Arabidopsis thaliana: one gene and its partners. The protein of the gene in region 2 purifies or fractionates together with the protein of the main gene of each other region. This does not show direct contact. Each region holds a gene or a part of one and is shown on either strand. Other genes may lie near its edges. The genes, in order: MAC3A, ARP4A, AT3G18790 and AT4G08640.

Region 1 (7,081 bases), about 27 Mb from region 2:
TAATTAGTTGACGTGGAGAAAATAGTCCCACCTAAGTGATGACTTGGTTGACCGGTAAAGGAGTTTGACCCAATTCTTTTTGTCGCGATGATTTTTGACTTTCTGACTGAAACTTGTGCTAAATTAAGCCTTCTATTTATAGAATTTGGCTTTTCTATTTTATTTTTAGCAATTTAATTTTTCATTTTCTATTTATTTACTTGGTTGGGTTTTTTAAATGCTGGTAAGAAGTGGAAAAGAAGAGAAGGAGAAAAAGAGACCAGGTCAGTGAAAATTTTGAAAATAAGAGATAAAGATCGTACTAAGTCAAATGTATTTATTTTATGGAAATTTCGAGGGGAAAAAAAATGTTACGTGATGCTTAGTTAAATTCGGAAACTACAAATTTCATATCAAGATGGTTTCTCTCGATAAAAATTCGTTACAGTGATAGTTTTAGCATACCATGCTTCGAGTTGTCGTTTTCTATATATGTTGTTTTCCTTACAACCATAACCAAATAATGAACTGATCATACAAATGAAAAGATACTTTTATAGATCGGAATATATATCGACTTAGATAACGTAAATAAAGGTACACCAATGTGATTTATAGATTATATAGTCATCAACACCATATATGAAACTTTAACAAAAAAACACCATATATGAAACTACAATTTTTTACGAACATGGTCTTACCTTTATTTTATCTTTTTTTTTCGTATAAAGAATTCCCAAACTATGAAAAAATGTCAGCTAGGTGAATAATCTAACTTTCATGGACTATTACTCAGCTAAGTTCAAAATATCCCTTCACTTCAAAACTTCTAAAAACAACTTTCATTGACTATACGCATTAATTAATTACTATTGTAATTACGACGATTTTTTTTTCGTTCTCCTCTAGCTTTTTTTAGTTTATTTGTTTTGGTCATGGTTGGGAACGGGACATCATCACATCACTTATCAACATTCTATTTGGTCCCCAACTCTATGAAGCATTATTTGAAATCATTAGCATGACTATCTAAGTTTTTTTTCTCCTGATATTTATCCAAAATTTTATTTCATTCAAATTGTTTAACAATATGTACATATACTATATGTATTATATAAAATACATATCACCACTCAGGCAATTTTTTAAACTTATATACAGTATGTGATAAAATAAACATGGTCATACGTTTAAGAATTGGAAATTAATGAGGTTGCAAGAAATCATTTAACGAGAACAGAATGAAGAGAAAGAAAAAAATAGCAACTTGGTGGCAAAAGGAAAAAGAAACAGCTTGAGATCAAAGCTGATTTGATGAATCGATACTTTGGAGATATATATGAGCATCTTCGGCAAAAGCTTTGGCCTTTGAGTGCAGTGTTACACACACGCATTTTCCAAACGAGATGATTTAAGTTTTGCAGAGCTATCACAAATATATTATAATACCAAACTCTCAGACAATATTATATAAATCGGAAGTCTAATTTTTTTTAATAAAAAATGAAAATATAGTATGACCAATGATTTGTTCATATAAGGTTCTTTTTTCGGCTATGTTAATTGTTGAGAAATGAGAATACTAAATATGCTTTTTATGAGAATACTACTTTTCGGCTATGACTAATTTTTGTTCATAAAGAACACATCTATCGTACGTGCAAATAGAATGGCCCGTACATCGTTGTCCTACCTTATACTTTAAAAGAATTTGTAATCAGAAAAAATAAAAGAAAAGAATGACAAAAAAAAGGGTAAGAATTATACTTTCGAGTTTCTTTTCTCAGACAGAAAGAATGAACGAACATACATAGTTTAACTAATGGGCTTCAGAAAAAAGCCTAATTAGTTATAAATCAAGGTCTCGTTAAAAGGCCCATTTGTTTAACAAGAAATCTCTAACTTGTTGTCCTAAGCTTAAACAATTTTTGCATCTCTCTCTCTTTCCGTCTTCATCGTCCTCCCGGCTTCTGCGATTTTGTTTAGTAGCGCCGGACCGGAGTAGTTAAAACCCTAGCCCAGTCTATTTAAAGATTCACCGAGTAGTCTTCTAGTCCTGCGTATACTTCTTCTTCTTCGTTTATACTTAGAAGATGAATTGTGCAAGTAAGGCACTCTTTCTTCTCTATTTACCGATTTAGGGTTTTATTTTGCTTTGTTTCTGTCGGTAACACTGTGGTCTTTTCTCCTCTACAGTTTCCGGCGAAGTTCCGGAGGAGCCTGTGGTTTCTAAGAAGTCGGGTTTGCTTTACGAGAAGCGGCTAATCCAGACGCATATATCCGTAAGCAAGTTCTTTTCTTTTCTCCCTCGTTCGACTCTTATCTAGGGTTTTCAGCTGTTTAGCCTCTTGCACCTCTCTATTTGCTGCAGATATTTTCTTAATACAGACTTTGTTGTGATAATTTATAGATTGCTTTTGGTACCTTGTAGGATTATGGGAAATGCCCGGTTACTGGTGAGCCACATACTCTTGATGACATTGTTCCCATCAAAACTGGGAAGGTAATGCAACCACTGGAGTTATTTGTCACACAGCATTGTTTGTAGAAACTTATTTAAGCCTGATTCGATCTCCGGGACCATTTTGCAGATCGTAAAGCCGAAACCATTACACACAGCTAGCATCCCTGGATTGCTTGGAACGTTTCAGACTGTAAGTTCTTATTTTGTATTCCCTATACCTTCTTTTTCGTTTCTGAATTTTGTTCTCTGTCTATTAAGGATCATATAGAGTTAAAATGGATGAACTTGATTTGGGTATGCATCGCTATCTGAGTTATTTAACATAGCAGATTGCATTCTACTCTTTACATTGAATTATATGTTCATTTGTTACTAATAGCAAGACGAAAGTGTTCGCTGGTTATTTTTACTTTAGGCAAAAGAAATGCTTAAAAAGTTTATCTGTTTGTTGTGCTTGTAGGAATGGGACAGTTTGATGCTATCAAATTTTGCTTTGGAACAACAACTGCATACTGCGAGGCAAGAGCTAAGTCACGCTTTGTATCAGGTAATTATGGTTAGGTGCATTTGCCACCACCTTATCAGACTACATGAATTACAAATATCTATTATGTATTCTAGTTTCTTTTCCTGGATGTTTCCATTTATTTCTTGTGATAAAAGGTGATTGATGGGGGATACACTTTTCCTTTGCAGCATGATGCTGCTTGTCGTGTGATTGCTAGGCTTAAAAAAGAAAGAGACGAATCACGACAATTGCTTGCAGAGGCTGAAAGGCAGTTGCCTGCAGCCCCCGAAGTTGCCACATCGAATGCTGCTCTTAGTAATGGTAAACGAGGTATGCTTGCACGTTTGCTTCTCAATGTAAGTTGGCTATGTGGTAATTTCTCTTATAACAAGCTACTATGTTTTTGGTTGCAATATAGGTATCGATGATGGTGAGCAGGGGCCTAATGCAAAGAAAATGCGTCTTGGAATTTCGGCTGAAGTTATCACAGAACTCACAGATTGTAATGCTGCTCTTTCTCAGCAGCGTAAAAAGAGACAGGTAACTGCATATATCAGTATATTAGTGGAAATAGAAGGCAAAAGAGAATTACATATATATATAGTTTGTCTGTAACATACAATGGATATCTGCACTTTTGGAGTTCAATTAGATTTGCGAGTGGTTCTTCTGTCTTAATAATTTCTCCTCATTGGTTCTCTAGATCCCTAAAACATTGGCTTCAGTCGATGCTCTGGAGAAGTTCACCCAACTCTCAAGCCACCCCCTTCACAAGACCAACAAACCTGGAATTTTTTCAATGGACATCCTACATTCTAAGGTTTGACACCTAAGAACTTCTCTATTTTCCATTCATCACTTTATGTAGTTTTTCTCTGTCCTGAGAAGTCACTGCATTGAACGTCATAGTGACATGTTTACTTTTGCGCTTACATTATATTGTACACTGCCATGAATCCCCATCTGGATGCTTATCAATATTATTCTTCAGTATATAGATTTTGTACACTACCATGAATCCCTGTGTCTGTTCTCTATTTAGTATTATTCTTAATTTCTCGTTATATGTGGTAATCAGGATGTCATCGCTACGGGAGGAATTGATACAACTGCCGTTCTCTTTGATCGTCCTTCAGGACAAATCTTATCAACGCTGACTGGTCACTCAAAGAAGGTCTGTCTTTTACTGTATTCTTTTTTTATATTTCATTTTCTTTTTTAACTTTTCCTTTGTAGTTTTGTGCTTGACATGCATTGTTCCTTTTGCAGGTTACAAGCATCAAGTTCGTTGGTGACACTGATCTTGTGTTAACTGCTTCATCCGACAAGGTAAGCTAAGGTTATGTGTACAAGCTCCTTTGAGGATTGCATGATTTTATGGAGTAGTAGTGAAGAGATTAACTTCTCATTTCTTAACACTCTGCAGACAGTCCGCATCTGGGGATGTTCCGAGGATGGGAACTATACCTCTAGACATACACTGAAAGATCATTCTGCCGAGGTAAGGATGTAACTGAAGAACTTCTACAGGCTACAGTCTCATACAGTTTTACGTTTTATTTATTTTTGGTCTGTTTAACGTAAAAGCAATGATGTGGTTTTCAGGTGCGAGCTGTAACTGTCCACGCAACGAATAAATACTTTGTGTCAGCATCACTTGACAGTACATGGTGCTTCTATGATCTGTCCTCCGGTTTATGCCTTGCTCAGGTCTCCAAAATTTTAATCCACACCTGATACCTGTTATCCAGTTTCAGATTTCTTCTTTTATGCTAATATAACAATGAAACATTTACCTTCTTTATTGTAATGTGAATTAGACTCGTTAGAATAAATGTTTCTGCCATGCGTCTTTCTCATTATTGTTGTTATTCAGGTGACAGATGCTTCCGAAAACGACGTGAATTACACGGCTGCTGCTTTTCATCCTGATGGTCTCATTCTTGGAACTGGTACCGCTCAATCTATTGTTAAGATTTGGGATGTAAAAAGTCAGGTAAAAACTCTTTGACCTTCCTTGCTCATCAACTGTTGTCACTTGTAAGTTTGTTCTCACTTCACTCTCATCTCTATCTCTGTCGTTTGATAGGCAAATGTGGCAAAGTTTGGTGGACACAATGGAGAAATCACCTCTATATCATTCTCTGAAAACGGTTATTTCCTTGCGGTGGGTACATTGACTGATTGACCTAAACTAAGTAGAAAGAAGGATAGCACCAGGTTCCTTTTGACTGACCAATATTTACTATTCTTTAAATTGTACAGACTGCTGCACTGGATGGTGTTAGGTTGTGGGACTTGCGCAAGTTAAAGAACTTCCGAACCTTTGACTTTCCAGATGCAAACTCGGGTATTCAACTACCTGAGCACTCTTACTAGTCTATTTTGTTGAGTGAGTTTTCATTTCTTAAGGCCTGAATGAGCTTTTTTTGTGCAGTGGAGTTTGACCATAGCGGATCTTATCTTGGCATTGCTGCTTCAGATATAAGGTGAGGTCTACTTTGATACACAATGTTGGGAATTAATTGATATAGGAGCTCACTTTGATAACGAGATATTGAAAGATAGTTGTGCAAACTCAATTAACCTGCTATCACCAGAAATGCAGTTTGGGTATATGTATACGTTTCTTCTGCAAATCATACTAATCGAAAACTTGTGCTTCAATGTTGTAGAGTATTCCAAGCAGCTAGTGTAAAAGCAGAATGGAACCCAATCAAGACTCTTCCCGATCTGTCCGGTACAGGTAAATGCTACATGTTAAGCTTTTGAAGTCACTGCTCTTCCTTGTTTTATTGAGTCTATCATTCAGACATTGTAACTACATAAATGTGCAGGTAAAGCAACAAGTGTTAAGTTTGGACTCGACTCCAAATACATAGCAGTCGGTTCAATGGACCGTAATCTCAGGATATTTGGTTTACCTGATGATGACAATACTGAAGATTCAGCACAAGATTCATGAAGAGATATCTCAAAAGTCTCATCATCAAGAGTAGCTATATCCTCAATTCTCGCGATTTTTGTTGTATCTTTACAGTTCTGTTGGTACTTTCCTGATGGCCCCTCTCACAATCACATATACACACCTGAGCTCTCTCCCTTTCTTTCTCAGTCAACAATTTTCCTGTAACAACATCGTACCTTAAGGATCTGCAGTTGATCTTTCTCTCTTTGATCTGAAAGAGTCCACATAAAACAAAGTTAGCTGCTCACTATAAAAGCAAATGAAGAACAGGCATGTAAATGATCTTCTTCATCATTCAAATCAGTAGGACCTAAACGGCAACAATTAAAAAACTTGTGTTATATAGAAAGGGTCATGAATCTTGAAGACAATGAAATGAAGACAAAAAGATTGTGATGGTGGTCATAGAAATTAGAAAACCCTGAGACAGACAGAGATTTTGACTGTACTGTGGTCAAAACACACACTTCACAATCTTCCCATTCCCCCACCAATCTCAGATTCCTTTTCACTTCCTCCAACTCTTTCTCTCTCTCTGGCCTTTTTTTTTTTTTTTTTTCCTATTTATAGCTCATCTTTAGTAATTCCGTTATTGGTTAAATTTCCTAAACATGTTTTTGGTATCAACAATCAAGTAAGTGCAAGAAAGTTTGTATCTTTCTCTAAACCCAATTTCCAAAGTAACCAACTACTAAACCAGAATGTTACACAAAGTAAGTCACTAAATGACTTTAAAAACAAGATTAGACTTTAAACTAGATTAGAGACATACTTATTTGGAATAAGATTCAAAGGTCACTAGTAGCTAGTAGGTGGTAAAAAGGAAGCTAAACAACAAATAAACTCTTATTAAAATCTTTCAATCAATAAATATTTATTGTAATTTGCTGCAGTAAATCAAACATTGTACAGTTTCAGAACTGAATGGCTCAGAAGCGTTAAAAGGAAAAAGAGACTCTCTCTCTCTCTCTCTCTCCCCTAATCTCCTCTCACATGGTCATCAAAAGCCAAAGCCAAAGCCAAAAAAAACAAAGAACCCAGAAACCTAGAAGACAGAAACAAAAATCAAAGCTTTACTGAGCCACCAAGCAACCAATTACATCAACTCTAAAACCCATAAAACCAACACAAAGATTCCATCTTTCAATATCTCTACAAT
Region 2 (4,071 bases):
AAGTTCATAGCCAACATCAACTCTAAAAGACGAAGCTTTGAATGAAGATACTAGAATAAAATGGTCTAACAAAACTCAAAAACACAATCTACCAATACTAATTAACAAAGAGACTTACTATAATCACCAAACGATCAAAAACTTAAAAATCTCTACTTGTCATTTATGAAACATTAGAACAACTATAGGCGCATACACAGATGAATCCACTGATGATCGATAAGAAAAAAGACTCACTCTTTGGTTACAGCGAGAGCGTTGTCCACGATCCGTTGCATTGCTTTTTTCTCAAAAATCAGATTTTTTTGTTTTTTTGGAAATATCAGAAAATTTGAAACCAAAAAACAATCTGATTCGTCGCCGTAATCCGAAAATTATCGAGGAAAACGACAAAGAGAAAATTTCTTATCCACCTGAGAAAACACAAAATTTAGCCAGAATAGAAATCTCTCGATGCTAGGAGATATTGGACCAAATCGCGATCGAGATTTAATCCGAACTCAAAATAAGGAAAACACAGAGACCCACAGGAGCCGCGATTCGAGAATCAAAAATCTAAAAAGAAAAAACAAAATTGGAGAGAATCTGACGAAAATAAAATAAAAATGGGAGAATCCGATTAAATAGGGGCACGTCGGCGATTCTTGCCGTCCAGAGACCAGAAAATGGTGACACGTGGACATGTGTTATTGGATAATGACGAATGTGACAAAAACTACGACACGTAAATTCGACTTTTGGATAACGGAGAAGGTGGATTTACCAAACAGGCAAACACACAAGTACATTTGTGGTTGTTTTCACTTAGAAAAATAGTACATTTGTTGTATGTTAACGTTGAAACATTATATTATACGAAGCTATTTCTAAAGCTTCATAATAATAATAAAAAAGTGTTTAATATTTGCCTAAATAAATGAAAAGATACTAATTACTTAATCCCTAAACCCTCTGACTGTCTCCAAAGGTTCTCGTTATCTTGATCTCAAGCAGCTTTTAAGGGCATTTCCTCTGGATGTAAGAAGCTCCATGCTCTGCATACCTGTCATGTACACAAAAAGACTCAAACCCTAGCGATGAGAAGACACTGTTTATACGTGAGTCGAGATCTAGAGAGCAATCCAATGTGTTACTTACTCAGACTTGGAGAACCACATTTGCTGGAATGAGCCTAACGATGCCAGTATACTACCTTACTTCTACCAAGTCTTTCTCGAGGCGTTCTTTCAATTACTGCATTGATGATGTTCCACCAGAATAATCTGTTCCTAATCCAAGATGAACTCAGCATCGATAAAAGGTAGAGAAACCAGACTTTTCTCTCTGCTGCTGTGAGTTCAGAGGAGGCTCTGCAAGTAGCATTGGGTGCTCCGTGGGATCAATCATTAGACAATTCCTTGAATAATAAACATTTACACAGATGAAATCATCAATCAACTATAAATGGAAAAGATAAAGATTAAACAGTTAAAGACAAAAACTAACAGATTCTGCAAATTACCTAAAAGCATGATCCCATACATTGTCCACCATATCCCAATCAGTTACAATGCCATCCTTTGTAGGTGACAATATCTGGAACAGACAAATGTCAACTAATAGAGAGACCTGAAAATTTATCTTCATCCCTAACCATTTTGAAGTTTAATAAAGAAAACTGACCTCCATTTGATCGCGGCGAAAGTTCAAAGCTTGAGATCCTGTGTAAAGCTTCCTTTTGCCTTTTTCTTTATCAGACTCCTTTGCATCCTCCGTGGTGTTTGCAGCATCATCAATATCCATTCCATTTCCATCTATCGCTCCAACAACCTTATAAGTTATATAACACATCAACAACAGCAACAACAAAAAACCTAAATTTCTCGAATTGCTTGCTCTACACTAAAAGGACCTAACTTTAACCAATTGAAAAGAGAGGAAGTAAAGAATGAGACTTACGGAAGGGAAAACAGCTTTAGGGGCATCTTCTCCGGCGTAACCAGCTTTGCAAGTGTGAGAACCTAAGTCTACTACGATAGCTGACACTTCGTCTGTTCAATATATAAGAAACCCCACCAAGGAAAAGTTTACACCTTTACGAGACGAGCTCAAGCGAAAAGGGAAAGAAGTAATGCTGAATTTGTACAATCAGAGAGAGATTTTAGAGAGGACGAAAATAAAACCTACCTCCACCGTACATGGCTGCCGAGAATGGGAGAGGTGAAGAGAGGTTTTCTCTACCGGAGCTTCGTCGGAAGGTTTAAGAACGGAACCGGAAAGTAAACTATTTAAGTGATTTCACTTTGTCTCGGATTGGGAAGTTGAATATAAAGAAGAGAAGGACTAAAACAAACAAACCTGAAATATGAGGGACTAAAACTAAAGAAACTGAAAACAAAGGGACTAAAATAAAAACAAATATGAAAAAATTAAAAATACGCCGTTGCCGGGGATCGAACCCGGGTCACCCGCGTGACAGGCGGGAATACTTACCACTATACTACAACGACTTTGTTGCTCAAGTTTTCTAAATTTGGTATTTCAATTGGTTAACTATTTCAAATTCTAAAAATTTGTTAACGAGATTCCGGTAACATTCTTGTTTTCTTGTGGTCAACAAGAAGCACAATTTACGAATGAACTCAAAAACACCAAATAAGAAACGAGCATGAAGAACTCAAGTGTTGCAACAAATAAACACACATCATGTGTGCAATAACAATTCATGTCCATAGTCACACACACCAAACCAATTGATTCCAACCTTAAATACTCAGAATCCCCTTACTCTCCCACAAACAAAGAAGAAAGAAACTTAGTCTCCTAGGAAAAAAATGGCTTCTTCTACTCTTCTCATCACTCTTTTAATCTCCTTATCAGCATTCTTTCTCCGAATGGTTCTCGCTCAAGTACCAGCTACATGTGCCTCCAGACTGCTTTCCTTAGCTCCATGTGGTCCATTCGTTCAAGGCTTTGCCCAACTTCCGGCTCAGCCATGTTGTGACAGCTTAAACCAGATCTATAGCCAAGAAGCAACCTGTCTCTGTCTCTTCCTCAACAACACCTCTACTTTGTCCCCTGCTTTTCCAATTAATCAAACTCTTGCTCTACAATTGCCTCCGCTTTGCAACATTCCAGCCAATTCATCCACTTGCTCCTCCTCCTTCCCTGGTACGTAAACAACACTTCTACTTTGTCCTCTCCTCTGTGAGATCAAATTGGTTTCTTGGAACTTACGAGAATGTTTTCGGTATATAGGAGAGGCGCCTAGTGATTCCTCCTCTGTTGCTCCACCACCTTCAAGCTCAACTGGTTCTCAAATCTCTCAAGGTGCAAAGAACAACTCTCGTGTCGCTGGTAAACCACTTTTTACCAAAGTTTTCAGTATCTGCTAAAACCAAAACATGGAAACAGTTAACATAGTGTTACTTTTCACTTTATCAGCTACTCCAGTGGCTCAAATGGCACCAAGACCCACCAGTTTTATGGGATTAGGTTATGGTTTGAAATCCTCTGGCTCCAAGTCTGAGATTCAGCTAACCATCTTTGCACTCGCAGCGATCTTACCCGCCGCTCTCCTCCTCATCTGAGTCTTTCTGCATTAACTACCATCTCGGTCTCTTCTGTTTTGTGTTTTCTCAATGAATCAAGATCAACTTTATAACTTTACCTTACATTTATAAAAGAAGAGATTATTGGAATGATTCCTAAAGAAGTTTGCAGTTCAGAAATGAAATCGGAAAACAGAACAATGAAGAACAATACTCTTCTTTTAACTTTGAATCTATAACATTATGAACACAACAAGCTCAAGATCAACTTGGAATATGGCTTTTTAAAACACCCCAATAGCAAAAAGTTTCAGTCTTTAAATTCTTTCTCTAAACACTGAACTGAAACTATTCCAAACTAGGAGCCACTTCTGTTGGGTTGGACTCAAACACATCTTCAGAGTTTGAACTCTCTGCTTCATCAAGAAGGTCACGAGATTGAATCGCCTCTTTATATACTGGCGTCTCCTTGAAATCCGTCGCACCTTCGTTATACGTCCCCGCCGCAAGTCCACCAGAGATTAGCTGTTACAACATTTTG
Region 3 (4,869 bases), on a different chromosome or scaffold from region 2:
GTGACAATGGTACCGGTATGGTGAAGGCTGGATTTGCAGGAGATGATGCTCCCAGGGCTGTTTTTCCCAGTGTTGTTGGTAGGCCAAGACATCATGGTGTCATGGTTGGGATGAACCAGAAGGATGCATATGTTGGTGATGAAGCACAATCCAAGAGAGGTATTCTTACCTTGAAGTATCCTATTGAGCATGGTGTTGTTAGCAACTGGGATGATATGGAAAAGATCTGGCATCACACTTTCTACAATGAGCTTCGTATTGCTCCTGAAGAGCACCCTGTTCTTCTTACCGAGGCTCCTCTTAACCCAAAGGCCAACAGAGAGAAGATGACTCAAATCATGTTTGAGACCTTTAACTCTCCCGCTATGTATGTCGCCATCCAAGCTGTTCTCTCCTTGTACGCCAGTGGTCGTACAACCGGTTAGTACATTTTAGGCTTTTTGTTTATACTCATTGATCATTATTTGAACTGAGCTCTGATTATCTTCCATTGAACAGGTATTGTGCTGGATTCTGGTGATGGTGTGTCTCACACTGTGCCAATCTACGAGGGTTTCTCTCTTCCTCATGCCATCCTCCGTCTTGACCTTGCTGGACGTGACCTTACTGATTACCTCATGAAGATCCTTACAGAGAGAGGTTACATGTTCACCACAACAGCAGAGCGGGAAATTGTAAGAGACATCAAGGAGAAGCTCTCCTTTGTTGCTGTTGACTACGAGCAGGAGATGGAAACCTCAAAGACCAGCTCTTCCATCGAGAAGAACTATGAATTACCCGATGGGCAAGTCATCACGATTGGTGCTGAGAGATTCAGATGCCCAGAAGTCTTGTTCCAGCCCTCGTTTGTGGGAATGGAAGCTGCTGGAATCCACGAGACAACCTATAACTCAATCATGAAGTGTGATGTGGATATCAGGAAGGATCTGTACGGTAACATTGTGCTCAGTGGTGGAACCACTATGTTCTCAGGTATCGCTGACCGTATGAGCAAAGAAATCACAGCACTTGCACCAAGCAGCATGAAGATTAAGGTCGTTGCACCACCTGAAAGGAAGTACAGTGTCTGGATCGGTGGTTCCATTCTTGCTTCCCTCAGCACATTCCAGCAGGTAAAAATTGATCAGATTTTGTTTCGAATTCTCTTACATGCAAATTGAAATCAAAGGCTGATTATTTATGTATATGTTGGTTACAGATGTGGATCTCCAAGGCCGAGTATGATGAGGCAGGTCCAGGAATCGTTCACAGAAAATGTTTCTAAGCTCTCAAGATCAAAGGCTTAAAAAGCTGGGGTTTTATGAATGGGATCAAAGTTTCTTTTTTTCTTTTATATTTGCTTCTCCATTTGTTTGTTTCATTTCCCTTTTTGTTTTCGTTTCTATGATGCACTTGTGTGTGACAAACTCTCTGGGTTTTTACTTACGTCTGCGTTTCAAAAAAAAAAACCGCTTTCGTTTTGCGTTTTAGTCCCATTGTTTTGTAGCTCTGAGTGATCGAATTGATGCCTCTTTATTCCTTTTGTTCCCTATAATTTCTTTCAAAACTCAGAAGAAAAACCTTGAAACTCTTTGCAATGTTAATATAAGTATTGTATAAGATTTTTATTGATTTGGTTATTAGTCTTACTTTTGCTACCTCCATCTTCACTTGGAACTGATATTCTGAATAGTTAAAGCGTTACATGTCTTCCATTCACAAATGAACTTAAACTAGCACAAAGTCAGATATTTTAAGATCGCACCATTTTATATAACCCCAATCGTCAATTCTACTGTTTCAAGTTTTACACCAAAACAATTACGAGGTGTATCTATTCGTTACTCTTTTCGCTTATTAATCCTTTTACATGATGCAAAATATAACAAATTAATTTCAAATTGTCCTGCACATTTGGTTTATACATCTTGATTCCAAAAAGTCAACTCGTTGAAGAATTAATCAATACTCGAAACGAGTCTTCCTTGGGCCCTAAAATATTGTCCTATCTAGTTGATGCTTATATAGCATATATGGGCTAATAAATTGGGCCTTAGCTTTGGAAAAGGACGTAGAACTTGAAACAATTTTTATTTTTCTTTTTCCGGCGAAACAATTATCTAATTACCAATTTAACCCCAATCCTTTCTCAGTTTCTCTCTTCCGCGTCTCTCCTTCTCGTTATCCTGCAAATTAGGGTTTAAGTAAGAAAAAAAAGCTAGAGAAGTATCTCGATCTCTTCTTCTGTTAGATTCTGCTTTCCTTTGAGATTTGCTAGTGTAATCGTAACCTCCGAAGACCCAAGATGGCTCGTAATGAAGAGAAAGCACAGTCGATGCTCAACAGATTCATCACCCAGAAAGAATCTGAGAAGAAGAAGCCAAAAGAGCGTCGACCTTACCTCGCATCAGAATGTAGAGATCTAGCTGAAGCAGACAAATGGAGACAGCAAATTTTGAGAGAGATCGGTAGCAAAGTAGCTGAGATTCAGAACGAAGGATTAGGAGAGCACAGACTTCGAGATCTAAACGATGAGATTAACAAGCTTCTCAGGGAGAGATATCATTGGGAGCGGCGAATCGTTGAGCTAGGTGGTCACAATTACTCGAAACATTCGGCGAAGATGACGGATCTAGAAGGTAACATAATCGATGTACCTAACCCTAGTGGTCGTGGTCCTGGTTATCGTTACTTCGGAGCTGCTAAGAAACTTCCTGGTGTTAGAGAGCTTTTTGAGAAGCCTCCTGAGCTGAGGAAGCGTAAAACTAGGTATGATATATATAAAAGGATTGATGCTAGCTATTATGGGTATAGAGATGATGAAGATGGTATTTTGGAGAAGTTGGAGAGGAAATCTGAAGGAGGGATGAGGAAAAGATCGGTGGAGGAGTGGCGGAGATTAGATGAGGTTAGGAAGGAAGCTAGGAAAGGTGCTAGTGAGGTTGTGAGTGTTGGAGCTGCAGCTGCTGCGGCGAGGGAAGTGTTGTTTGAGGAGGAGGAGGATGTTGTTGAGGAGGAGAGGATGGAGAGGGAGAAAGAGGAGGAGAAAGAGAGGGAATTTGTGGTTCATGTTCCGTTGCCTGATGAGAAGGAGATTGAGAAGATGGTGTTGGAGAAGAAGAAGATGGATCTGCTTAGTAAGTATGCTAGTGAAGATTTGGTTGAGCAGCAGACTGAGGCTAAATCCATGCTCAATATTCATAGATAGAAAGGTGATCATCTCTTCTTGTAAGGCTTTTTAATCATATCATAGTATAATTTTATTGTCTGTAGTTTCTTTTGCAGTTTTTGATCAGAAAATTGACTGAACTGCTGTGTGTTTTAAGAAATTTCGATTAGAGGAATTCTAAAAATTTGTTGATGTTTCTTATATTATTACATCCTAGATTATGATCTTAGAGAATTTGCTAGATCTTGATTTATATTTCCTTAGTAGTCCTGGTCTGTTTGAGAGTATGATAAGGCTTCTGTCGAGTAATGTCATAAAGCGCGATCAATCTATAACAACAACGTACATTCTTGCTTCATTAATCAAGAGTTTCACTGACCTGAGTAATTGACCTAGTACCCTTGTATGTGGAGCTTAGATTTGCAGAAACTGTTATTTCAATGGGACATACTTTAGTTAGTGCCTTAGTGGCATGCATTAGGATGCGAAGGAATTCGTATTATATCTTCTCTTGAATTGAATCTGAGAGGCTGATACATCATCTCTATGCTTCTCAGATGCTCTGTTTTACCAACAAACTCAGCCGCGATGGTCTCTTGCCTAAAGAAGAAACGATGTTGGGCGTTTGAAATATGATTTCATGGAAACAAATGTGAAAGACTCAAGGAGAAGATACAATGTCACTTGGAACTGAACTAGTGTATTCTATTATGTAGCTCGACTTTTGTATCTTTATACTTCTGAATGTAATGCTCATTGCCTGAGGTTTATACATTGTTCCTTTGGCTCTAACTAGATTGGTGCTATGCAGAGACATAAGTTGAGACCAACCACAAGCATTTTTCTGGTTTTGATTTTACTCCCAGTAAAATATTTATTGAGTACGGACAAAACATCAAAAATCAGAACAAGACCGTTGAGATGGATAATACTTGTCTAGAGATACGAACCACACCCACATGTTCCTACACACAATCCCCAAACCATCTCTCTAACCAATAACACTTTTTCTCTCTTCTCAGTCCTTCAATGGCGGACTACGACGACGAAATTGACCAGAATAACCAACCTTTCATCCCCAAAGAAACTGCTCTACAAGCACTAAACTCAATAATCCAGCTCCACTTCGAGAAAACCTTAGAGAAGAAACGAGCCATTGACCACCAGAAGAAGAAGCTCCACAAGCTATTTCAGCTCTTCTTCATCTTCCTCGCCGTAATCTTCTTCTCCCTCTCTCAACCCTCAGGTCGTCTTCACTGCCGCCATTGCTGGGCACCCATCTGCCTCCTATCCTTCTCTCACCTCTTCTTCTACGTCTCCGTCGCTCAAACTCTCCGTTGCATCAACGGCTTCAAGTACCAGCGTCGCTGCCATAAGCTCACTCTCGGTCTCGCCACTCACAAGCTCCGTTTCATCAAGTCAAGAATCGCTGCCGGAGATTTCCTCGGTGGAGGCGACGGTGATGAGGCCTCTGCTGCTGCTTGGGATCTGGAAGTTCCGTATCAAGAACCACCTGATAGCTACTTTGGCAAGTTTAAGAGAAATTGGGCTCTCTATTTTGGGTTCTTGATCCTTCTTTACACTTTCATGATCTCTTTCTCTGTCGTTATCCTCTGTTTCTGAGATCTCTAGAGTGGCATTTTCGTAAATTTTGCAAAACCCATCTGTTTCTTATTATTCATTAGTCCTCAGCTTTAGAATGATCAAGAAGATTGAAATAA
Region 4 (3,462 bases), on a different chromosome or scaffold from region 2:
GCTCGTTACATCCACTGAAAAATCATCATCCTCATTGTCCTCATCAACTAACTGTGGAGTTGCCATCTGTTGACGCCTTGCCATAGGATTCCTAATCTGTCAGTCCAGAAAACACTATCACATAAAATCCCTACATTGCAAAACCCTCATTACAGTGAAAAAGTGAGTCTGTTAATTTTAATTACCACAGGAGAGCGAGAAGGATGAGATCTTCCAGCTGCGAGTCCAATGCTCCCTGTTCCGATAGCATTATAGTCAAAGGAAAGGTCTTCATCACTATCTTCCTCGTCCCCTGTTTGATTTGACATCACAGCCGCAAGTCTCTGAGCAGCTGCTTTTGTCTGAGCTTTCTTAGCATTCGAAGCTGGCCCAGCATTTGATCCTGAACGTGTATGACGATGCATTAGAGGAGACGTCATCATAGGCGAAGATGGTGTTCCTGGTTCCGTACTCTTATTCCTAACATGAATAGGTCTCGTGTTTCTCATCGTCAACTACAAAAATTAAGCACATTGATTTTCATCATCACATTCACATCAATGGCAGTTTGATTGGAACTAAAAATTCCACACATTGAATTAAAAAAATAGTTACCAAATTTGTCAAAATTTTGGAAATCACAGAAAAGTGAAATCCAGAAAAATGGAAAAAGAATTAAATGCGTGAATTAAACAGAACCTTACAAAATTAGATTCAACAGAAATCTCAAAGAATGTTTCAAAAGAAAAAGCAATGAATAAATTTGCCATTTATGGCAGCACATATTTCTCTCTCTGACTGATCTTCGGTCATTTAGCCAGAAATTGCGAGTGGCTTTCAACGGTCGGATTGAGAACAGTTTCTTCTTTAATTATTTATACTTTCATCCCCAATAATTTATTATTGTTATCGATAGTACCTAAATTTATTTATTTTATAGTTTTCATCCCACGATTGTGTAATAATTATCCAAAGTACCCTTTTCCAATTATAATAGCATTATCATCTTTTTGTTTATGGTTTAGGTACAGTTTTTAAAGTTTTCTCACGGTTTGTAAAATAGAAAAAGGAAAATCAAGTAACTAAGAGATATATTATTTGATTTGATAGTTAGCTCGTAATTGTTTCGTCTACCACAACGGCATATAGAAATTTATATTTCTAGTTATGACTTATGATCAGTGATTATAGCATATGTTGTATGATAAAAAATATTTTTCATATAGTTTTTATTTCTTATTAAATTATTAATTACTTATTAGGCAATACATATTTTTTCATTTATTACTTGATATCTCTAACTTTTGCTCTCTTTGTAATACGTAAGTGTAACTTATCTCTGTGTTGTTTTTATGCTTGGCAACATCAATCCTTAATAAGATAGATGAGCTTTTTATCATATCCGAAATAGCCTCTAAGCAGCAGAAAGATGAAAGAGATGATTTAGCCATTCCTTTTGCTAGATCAATTCTCAACCATAAAGATTCTTTGAAAGAGATGAGACTGATAACATTTCGGGATATACAAAATCCTTGGAAAAGGTGAATGATGCGTCCTTATTACTATTTATTATTTCTAGAGTTAAAACATAAATATCATATTTGTTTTTTTGTTCGGTAGGCTCTTGAGATACTTCAAGAACAAGTTAAGATATCTGAGAGACTATGGTTGTGCAAGAGACTTTTCTTTCCCGAATGAGGATGATAACTAGCAAGCAGTTTAACCAAAAAAGTTTAAATTCTTTAGTACTTGAGGTATTTTATTCATGTAAGATTTTTTTTATTATTTCTCATTTCTTCAGTGTTATTGCAATAGAATGGTTCATCTGTTTACAGGTATGCTCTTAAGTCCTAACGAATGCAATGACCATGAACATTGATGATGTCCATGTTGCCAAGATATTGGGAGTAGACTCTCGCAAATCTTGCGTTGTCTGTGGTATCGTCTTTAAAAGTGACGATGTAGGTAACATTAGGCATCCTTTGAAAAATGCAAAGGTGAGACCAGGTTGAACAAATCTTGCATAACATGGCATCCTTTGTAACTGTCTTTCTCAAGGATGGTTGTGTTTTTAATTGTTGACTATTTTTCTCCTTTATTTTGGGTTCTAGTCTTCTAGGTACATAACTTTGGAAAGTCAAAGGAAGCCATGCTTGAGACTTTGGTTAAAGATATTGCTTTTTCCAATGTAAAAGTTATTGTTAGTCGGTCATCAATTTGTGAAATGACACTACGTTTCTGCAAAATTTACAAGTAAGTAATCTCTAACATTTGAACCTACTTTGAATCATTTTTTCTGAACCTTTTGATAAATACAGTGTTGGCAATACCATTTTTTTTAGGATAATGGTTCTACAGATTTCTTCTGACATTGATATTAACAGTTTATGTTCAATAGTTGGTGCAATTGATTCATCTCAGCATTTCCAACCTCATCATCTTGGATACATGGATTCTACATCATTATCAGAGATTGGTAATTCCTCAACAATCACTTTGTGTGGAACGAAATGGAAAGTCTTAACCAAACAACAAAGCTACATTACTCATGGAATCAATACATACAATTTAATACTTGTATATTTACTGAATTAGTTATTCTTGTCTGTAGCCAAGAGAGCTGTAAAGAAGGCAGAGAGAGATGCAGAGAGGGCTGAGAGAGCCTCTCAGAAGAAAGCAGAGAAGTTTAAGAGTAAGCTCCAGGCTGAGAAAAAGAAGGATTGAAACTAGATCAGATAATTGATGTGTTTCTTTTTATCATGTAATGAATGACTTAGAGTAATGTAGAGATTATTGTTCTTAAAAGGTTTGCGGGAGCTGTCTTCACTAAAGGTAAAAAAATCTTAACATGTGAACTCTTTTTGTCGACTCTATCCTTTTTTAGAAGCAGAGGTCTGTTATTAGATGATTATTTAAGAGACATTTTTGAAGTATTTGCTCTGTATAAAGGATCATGAGGCATTTTTTTGTCATGTCTCAAAAATAGACGGAATACATTATCAAAGTTTATATATTTATAGATTATAATGTGTAAGAAAGCAATGTACAACCATGTCTAACGCATAAGCCCCAATAACGTAAAAGCCAGCACCTCTTCAGAACAATCTCTTCCTAAAGAGAGCTCCAGATGAGAAACTATCGATTTAAAAAATACACTAGATGGAAACAAAAAGTATGAACCTTTAAAAATACTCCTCTCGAGTCAATATCAATCTATTAGTCACGGTCTTAAGAGAGTTAAGCTCGAATTCAACTTTATAAAGGTGCTCTAACGAAGATGTTGCCTCCTCCCTAGCAATCTAAAACGATTCCAAGATCTAAGGTGTTAGTACAAATACCCGTAAGAACAACAACATATCAAAACTTGAAGTACCTCAGCTTCTGTGTGAAGAGCCAAAACATCTACCCTCCTTCCTCCATGATTTTGTGATGCAACTCTCAAAGCAGCCTGAAAAGAATTTGGTTCTATGGATTATGCTACTT

Evidence for each region.
Region 1: the proteins of ARP4A (region 2) and MAC3A fractionate together in Arabidopsis thaliana (co-fractionation; one large-scale study listed by BioGRID). This does not show direct contact.
Region 3: the proteins of ARP4A (region 2) and AT3G18790 fractionate together in Arabidopsis thaliana (co-fractionation; one large-scale study listed by BioGRID). This does not show direct contact.
Region 4: the proteins of ARP4A (region 2) and AT4G08640 fractionate together in Arabidopsis thaliana (co-fractionation; one large-scale study listed by BioGRID). This does not show direct contact.

Annotation. Positions count from the first base shown.
Region 1 is NC_003070.9:1,224,674-1,231,754, forward strand, and holds MAC3A (MOS4-associated complex 3A), read left to right. Parts: upstream 1-1,809; 5' UTR 1,810-2,075; coding exon 2,076-2,088; intron 2,089-2,178; coding exon 2,179-2,264; intron 2,265-2,413; coding exon 2,414-2,485; intron 2,486-2,573; coding exon 2,574-2,636; intron 2,637-2,906; coding exon 2,907-2,993; intron 2,994-3,142; coding exon 3,143-3,284; intron 3,285-3,372; coding exon 3,373-3,494; intron 3,495-3,657; coding exon 3,658-3,774; intron 3,775-4,032; coding exon 4,033-4,128; intron 4,129-4,223; coding exon 4,224-4,283; intron 4,284-4,380; coding exon 4,381-4,455; intron 4,456-4,559; coding exon 4,560-4,664; intron 4,665-4,830; coding exon 4,831-4,950; intron 4,951-5,043; coding exon 5,044-5,121; intron 5,122-5,219; coding exon 5,220-5,304; intron 5,305-5,391; coding exon 5,392-5,443; intron 5,444-5,629; coding exon 5,630-5,700; coding exon of another isoform or gene 5,701-5,706; intron 5,707-5,791; coding exon 5,792-5,919; 3' UTR 5,920-6,274; downstream 6,275-7,081.
Region 2 is NC_003070.9:27,787,401-27,791,471, reverse strand, and holds ARP4A (actin-related proteins 4A), read right to left. Parts: upstream 2,265-4,071; 5' UTR 2,180-2,264; coding exon 2,167-2,179; intron 2,031-2,166; coding exon 1,939-2,030; intron 1,810-1,938; coding exon 1,663-1,809; intron 1,576-1,662; coding exon 1,502-1,575; intron 1,397-1,501; coding exon of another isoform or gene 1,350-1,396; coding exon 1,172-1,349; 3' UTR 1,138-1,171; exon of another isoform or gene 1,043-1,137; 3' UTR 896-1,042; downstream 1-895. Other genes in the region: AT1G73920 (alpha/beta-Hydrolases superfamily protein), read right to left, coding at 238-278; AT1G73890 (Bifunctional inhibitor/lipid-transfer protein/seed storage 2S albumin superfamily protein), read left to right, coding at 2,814-3,150, 3,238-3,336, 3,424-3,569; AT1G73885 (AT-rich interactive domain protein), read right to left, coding at 3,764-3,810, 3,890-4,055.
Region 3 is NC_003074.8:6,475,569-6,480,437, forward strand, and holds AT3G18790 (pre-mRNA-splicing factor ISY1-like protein), read left to right. Parts: upstream 1-2,092; 5' UTR 2,093-2,284; coding exon 2,285-3,187; 3' UTR 3,188-3,191; intron 3,192-3,705; 3' UTR 3,706-4,014; downstream 4,015-4,869. Other genes in the region: ACT2 (actin 2), read left to right, coding at 1-420, 499-1,112, 1,199-1,264; AT3G18800 (uncharacterized protein), read left to right, coding at 4,178-4,771.
Region 4 is NC_003075.7:5,511,472-5,514,933, forward strand, and holds AT4G08640 (ATP binding protein), read left to right. Parts: upstream 1-1,841; coding exon 1,842-1,976; intron 1,977-2,098; coding exon 2,099-2,232; intron 2,233-2,321; coding exon 2,322-2,455; intron 2,456-2,590; coding exon 2,591-2,703; downstream 2,704-3,462. Other genes in the region: AT4G08630 (fas-binding factor-like protein), read right to left, coding at 1-96, 186-488.